Xenopus tropicalis: one gene and its partner. The protein of the gene in region 2 interacts with the protein of the main gene of each other region in a biochemical or structural test. Links are inferred from orthologs where the notes say so. Each region holds a gene or a part of one and is shown on either strand. Other genes may lie near its edges.

Region 1 (3,110 bases), on a different chromosome or scaffold from region 2:
TCCATGGGGGGGCCAGGTCTTTGTGGGGTATTGTGTATGGGGGCACTTCCTATTGGGGGCACTGTGTATGGGGCAATTGGGGCTCTGTGTATGAGGGCACTTTCTATTGGGGGGCAAGGTCTTTGGGGGGTATTGTCTATGGGGACACTGTGTTTGGGGCACTGTGTATGGGGGCACTTCCTATTGGGGGCACTTTGTATGGGGCAATTGGGGGCACTGTTTATGGGGGCACTGTGTATGGGGGCACTTTCTATTGGGGGAACTGTGTATGGGGCAATTGGGGCACTGTGTATGGGGGCACTTTCTGTGGGGGGGCAAGGTCTTTGGGGGGTACTGTCTATGGGGGAACTGTGTATGGGGAAATTGGGGCACTGTGTATGGGGGCACTGTCTAAGGGCAATTGGGGGCACTGTGTGGAGGGGGCTGTCTATGGGGACACTGTGTATGGGGCAATTGGAGGCACTGTCTATAGGGAAATTGGGGCACTTTCTATGGGCAATTGGAGGCAATGTGTGTGGGGGGCACTGTGTATGGGGCAATTGGGGGCACTGTGTATGGGGGTACTGTCTATGGGGCAGTTGTATGGGGGGACCGTGGCCAGAATAGCGTTAGGGGGCACTGTGGTAGGGTGACCCTAATACTTTTTATGTCTGTGTGTCCTGTACTGATGGGAGGGGCCCCGTGATTTCTGATGGCGGCCCTGCCACCATGGGCAGCCACTTTTGACAATTATGACATGCGCACCGCATTTCAAATTCAATCAAAAAAAAAAAAAAAAATTTAATGCTGCTTTTTTTATTTTGTCTATTTTTTTTAAGTATAACTAAATAGAGGGGCGGCAAATTTCCGGTCGGCCCCAGGCGACGAAAGCCCACGCTACGCCACTGATTCTCTCCTTTTAACCTATTTTGTTCTTGTCATTGCACTTTTAATAGATGTGCTAATAAATCCTGCCAGTCTGTGGTACCTTCCCTACTGCATAGTGAGGCAATACTGAAGGCTTAGCCGTTCCACAGAATGACCAAGTGCCATGTACAAACACAGGGATAGGATAGTGTGTGGTAGAAAGTGACTTTATTTTCCCAAAACACAAAATCGTTCAGACTTTTGAGGAAGGCAAGTTGCAGTGGCAATCTGCTCAGTGACACGGCGGCTAGTGTCTTTTAAATAGAAATGTGCTTGGCTTCCCTCACAGGGCAGATCTCGCGAGAGCGGCGGGGCTGGCTGTGGGAGCAGTATCTGTGGGAGTAGTAGGCAGAAGGGAAGAAGGCAGAGCCTGTATCATGGCGGATAGAGATAGTGGAAGCGAGCAAGGCGGAGCGGCAATGAGTTCCGGCGGTAGCTCGCTACACCCGGCGTCAGGAGCAGGTGGCTCAGTCCTGCAGCACGAAACGCAAGAACTGGCCTCTAAACGTGTGGACATCCAGAATAAGCGCTTTTATTTGGACGTTAAGCAGAACGCTAAGGGCCGCTTCCTGAAGATAGCGGAGGTCGGGGCCGGCGGCAACAAGAGTCGCCTGACGCTGTCAATGTCGGTGGCGGTGGAATTCCGCGACTATCTGGGAGATTTCATCGAGCATTACGCCCAGTTAGGACCCAGTAACCCGGACATGGCGCAGGATGAGCCGCGGCGAGCGCTAAAGAGTGAGTTCTTGGTCAGGGAAAACCGCAAATACTACATGGATCTGAAAGAGAACCAGAGAGGCCGGTTCCTGAGGATTCGCCAGACGGTAAACCGCGGGCCCGGCCTGGGCTCGACCCAGGGTCAGACCATCGCTCTCCCAGCGCAAGGACTAATCGAGTTCCGCGATGCTCTAGCCAAGCTTATCGACGATTACGGGGTGGAGGAGGAACCGGCCGAATTACCTGAGGGCACTTCATTGACTGTGGACAACAAGCGGTTTTTTTTTGACGTGGGCTCTAATAAGTACGGGGTGTTTATGAGGGTGAGCGAAGTGAAGCCCACCTACCGCAACTCTATCACCGTCCCGTACAAAGTGTGGGGCAAATTCGGGCACACTTTCTGCAAATACGCCGAGGAGATGAAGAAGATCCAGGAGAAGCAGAGGGAGAAGCGAGCCTCTGAGCACCAACAGCAGGAGGGCCATGGGGACGATGGGGAAGACGATTGATAACTGTCCCAATTACCCCCCTCCCCTTCCTTTCCCTTTATCCCTTTATGAACTGTCAAAGAGAAAACAAAAATATATAATAACTGTTTAACTCAGAGGGAGCACCGCCCACCAATCCTCCACACACTGACAGATTGTGACTTGTCACACCCCATCGCTGGATGTTGTCCACTTACCCACCATATAAACAGTAAGCAGCTGCTAAAAAAACAAAACAAAGTAATAACATTATATATGAACTGTGTTTCCTACTTGATTAAAATATAAAAAAATTGAGTGTTTATTTCCCTAATTAACCAAGAACTTTTGTACACCTGCTATTATTAAAAAGTGTTTGCAATGGTCAGATTATATAATTGCTGAAGTATATTAAAAAAAAAAAACAAACAGAAAAAAAAGGGTCCTTTTCATGTGAGCTAACATTTGAATTTAGCACAAAGAGATATTTTAGAGACACGTAAAATATTTTTAGTTTGACTTTTTTTTTCTCATTTTTGTTACCAAATGGAAAAAAAAAAATAAACCTTACATGGGGAAGGTCGTTAGTTCTAATTGACACCTTATATACCTGTGATTTAGAGACGTGTACATATTACGAGGGCTAGGCATGCTGTATGTCTGAGCTTTGTCTAAATGTTATGCAGAGGTTTGTAGAGTTAAAGGTACATAGGTTAATTCATGCAAGGTATAAAATACAACTGCTCTTTTTTTTACAAAAAAAAAAAAAATGCATTGCATCTGGACCTAAAAAGTACAAACGGTCAGTGAAACTTATGTGAACATGAGTCAACTTATTAAAAAAAAAAATTCAAATGACTTTTTGCAGATTTGTGATTTTTAATCTCTATCCCCCCCCAACCCGTTTGTGTTTCATTTTCAGCATATCTTGTTCCGTAATTGTGCTGTTATAAAATCTGTGTGTATGGCATAAGCCTGATCTTCTTCAGGTATGGGATCTATCAACAGGAATGGTTTTTC
Region 2 (3,956 bases):
CAAATTATAAACTGAATGGTTATTCTAGAATATTACACAAGGGCAATGGCATAACTAGCATACAACTGGGTGGCCAGACAGGCGCCATATTTGCTCCCCACAGATGCTCGTTGACCCAAGTATGAAAGCAAAGGGATGGGAAAGGTTTAAAGTTTCACACTGCAGTGGAAGATGGGAGCCACTTTTGCCCTCCACCAAACCCCCCACTCCCTCACCCATAATGCCAGGGCCTGGAAAATGTATCTGCATTGGGCCCTGCCTTCTAATAGTACACCGATGATTATACATATCATTTAGATTTTACAGAAATTCTGGAAGATTTTGGGGGCACATGAACATCACCAATGGAATAATTCTGGTAAAAAGAACATGGGGTCGGGGACAATGTAACCAGATGCATCAAGTGAGAGGGGGGTTGTCAATAGCTTGGCGTCACGTCATCTTGTTTTTTCTGTGTTTCGCACTGTTTTCCTTTTCTAAATAAAATGTAATAATTAAAAAATGCTGTGAAACAAAAACAATTAAGGATGTGAACTTAAGATGATTTGCTGTAAACCGCTTTTTGCTGAAAAGTTGTTTTTTTTTATTGGCAATGAAAATAGATTTATTGATAAATTAAGCTAGCTCAATCAAACACACTGATCCCGTCTGCTCTTCAATTCAGAACAGCCCTCAATTAAGGGAACAAAATGAAGAAAAAAAAAAAAAGTTAACTTTTACTTTACTACATAAACTCGCTTATAAATACAACTTTTAAGGGCAGTTTTTAAGTAAAAATATACGCAAACAACCAACTTACAGAATAATCCCCCCCAACTCTTTAAACCTTTTTAGCTGTACACTCCAAATCAAAAGCTTCAGCCTGGTGCATTTTTATATACAAAATCTGTAACTTAAGTGATCAACATAATAAACAGCATAGGGAACAAATTATATATTATATAAAACCACAACACTATAGAACACCGGCAGCAAGCTGTTTGCACGGGGTGTTCGTAAGGTTAAAGGAAGGGACAACAATGCTGCTGGGATTTAATAAATTAAAACAAAATGTGTCACAATGCATACTACTTCCTCTATAAGGATGCACAGGAAATGCCAAGAGCGGGGAAAAGAAATAGGGGCGGCCCAAAGCTCTTCATTCAGAGAAAGAATGACACGAAGACTGTCTGTGCTGAGAGCTCTTACGTACTAACATACTGAAGTGGTTAGGCCATCAGCAACCAGTTCATCTGCTTGAAGGTTCATTATTAAAGCCTCACTTTTCTCCACCACCCACACCAAGCCCTTAACCCCTCTGAAAAACATTTTAAAAATGCATCATTTCCCCCATACACACACACATATGGGTAAATATAAGTGCTAAGACCAGACTATAACCTCTCGTTTCTTGTTTAATCTTCTGCAGTAGGGAGAGAGGTGTGTGTGCGTATATATATATATATATATATATATATATATATATATATATATATATATATATATATATATGGAAAAGGAAGCACACCATAAGAATGCGATACCTAGGTGCCAGAGCGAGGAATCAAATATAGTGTAGGTTATATAGTGTAGGTTGTCAGCACTCATAGGTTTTAAGTAATAAAGCAAAAAAGGCAACAAATAGAAAAATCAAGCAGTGAGGTTTATTTGTTCCGATGTTTCAGTCCTATACAGGGACTTTCGATCCCTGACGAATGTCCCTGTATAGGACTGAAATAAACCTCACTGCTTGATTTTTCAATTTGTTGCCTTTTTTGCTTTATTACTTAAAACCTGAGCGCTGACAACCTACACTATATATATATATATTTATTACTCACACACACATTTATTTTGGCGCTTGATTAGTAATACAAATTAACATCTCCAAAATCGATTTTCTTGCATTACAAACATGAACCTCCAAAAGGAATGTGGACCATAGGAATATATAGCCTTATAAGACAATTAGGAACTGGAGCAGCAATGAATGATTATTGGTAATAGGTTCTGTGCTAGACAAAAAAAAAAAATATCCTATTCAGGCACTATTTTACAAATCCAGAGCTGTGAGGCCACTAAAGTCACAGTCGAAGTTGAAAAGTTCTGCAGCACCCTCGCAGGTTTGCAATCCAAAGCTGTACTCCTGTGATGAAGCAGGAGACAGGCTGATGAAGTCATTGGGGAGAAAGTCCGGCATAGCATCCCGGTAGTCCAGGAGGAGGTTAGAGGGAGAAAGTGGGAGACAATTCAAGGTAGAATCAAGAGGTATTTCATTCTCTGGTGGCAGGAACGGCTCTACAAAAAACATGACAAGTAGGTTATATTAGTGGAGTGAGAAAATACAGGGTTATTGATAATAGCTCTTACAACAAGTTGATCCAGGAACTGGTCCAATTGTCATCTTGGTGTCAGAAAGGAAATTTTTTACCGCAACTGAGGGAAAACTGGAGAAGCTTCAAATAGCTTTGGGTGGGGGGCTAAACCCTTCCTGAGCTTAGGAACTGACCGGCAGTGAGAGTAAAGGTGGCCATAGACGTTAAGATCCGCTTACTTGGCGAAGTCGCCAAGTGAGCGGATCTCCTCCCGATATCCCCCACCAACAGGTGGGCGATATCAAGCAAATCCAGTTGTTTGGCCGATTGAACGAACGAATTAGAACGATGGTAATAGGACCGATCCGACTAAATTTTTTAACCTGCCCGATTCCAGGCCAGATGTTGGTCGGGTAGGCCTGTCGTTAGTGCCCCTACACGGGCCAATAAGCTGCCGAATCGGTCTAAGGGACCGATATTGGCAACTAGAATCAGCCTGTGTATGGCCACCTATAGAGAGAGTGTGAGTGTAATAAACAATAGAGGTCATCAGTATTATTGTATATTATTGCTGCTGAGATGTTCTGTGACAAAGTCTCCACCTCGAGTTGCAGGAACAAAGAACATGAGCAGGTAGGATTCTCATTGATGGATTACAATATAACCATGATATTATTAAACTACAGCTCCAAATGCACTTGATACCGTGATGTTAAAGTAGGCTGGAATTTGTAGCAGCAAGTCAAGTAAGGTGTAAGTAATCAACATGGATGTTGGTCTACTATGTGCCAAACAACAGACAAGATACTTCTATGTAATGCTAGCCATTCAATAAAGCTTTGAAGCCTATAAATGAAAAAAAAAAACTGCCACTTTCCAGCACATGATTTATTAAATCCCCAGTTCCACAGCAATGCTTTTTAGATCTGCTGTTTTTGTCAACCAAACATTGCACCTTAAATTTGCAAGCTCTGGCCTTACTTTGTAGTGCCACCAGAATTTGACCTCATTAGCCGAGACTGATTAGTATAGCCCTTGCTAAATGGTAGGTTTGCTTCTCGTTTAGCAGCCTGACTCTACAGCAGCAGATTTCCATGCAATCTGAAGCAGTTAGATCGGATTAAAGGAATAGTAACACCAAAAAATGAAAGTGTATAAAACTAAAATATAATGTGCTGCTGCCCTGCACTGGTAAAAGTTGTGTGTTTACTTCAGAAAGTCTACTATAATTTATATAAATAAGCTGCTATGTAGCCATGGAGGCAGCCATTCAAAGGAGAAAAGGCACAGGCACATAGCAGATAACAGATAAAACACTATTGTATTCTACAGAACTTATCTGTTATCTGCTATGTAACCTGTGCCTTTTCTCCTTTTTCCAAGCTTGAACGGCTGCCCCCGTGGCTACACAGCAGCTTATTATATAAATTATAGTAGTGTTACTGTAGCAAACACACCAGTTTTACCAGTGCAGGGCAACAGTGCATTATATTTTTATTACTTTAAAGCTCTTTCATTTTTTGGTGTTACTGTTCCTTTAACAGATTACTTAGACCAAGTTTGTTTGGAGACTTTGCTTTGTGTTTTCTAAAGCAGTAAACAGTGTGCTAGTATTGACACATTAGCTACTCACACAGTATTTATGAGCAATTGGGCATCATA

What was found. The genes of interacting proteins can lie anywhere in the genome.
Region 1: the proteins of e2f1 (region 2) and pura form a complex in vitro, tested with the Homo sapiens proteins (2 studies listed by BioGRID). The link is inferred for Xenopus tropicalis from reciprocal best matches to the Homo sapiens genes E2F1 and PURA.

Annotation. Positions count from the first base shown.
Region 1 is NC_030679.2:31,046,938-31,050,047, forward strand, and holds pura (transcriptional activator protein Pur-alpha), read left to right. Parts: upstream 1-1,228; 5' UTR 1,229-1,283; coding exon 1,284-2,132; 3' UTR 2,133-2,515; downstream 2,516-3,110. UniProt on the Homo sapiens protein: This is a probable transcription activator that specifically binds the purine-rich single strand of the PUR element located upstream of the MYC gene. May play a role in the initiation of DNA replication and in recombination.
Region 2 is NC_030686.2:41,701,377-41,705,332, reverse strand, and holds the end of e2f1 (transcription factor E2F1), read right to left. Parts: intron 2,278-3,956; coding exon 2,033-2,277; 3' UTR 560-2,032; downstream 1-559. UniProt on the Homo sapiens protein: Transcription activator that binds DNA cooperatively with DP proteins through the E2 recognition site, 5'-TTTC[CG]CGC-3' found in the promoter region of a number of genes whose products are involved in cell cycle regulation or in DNA replication.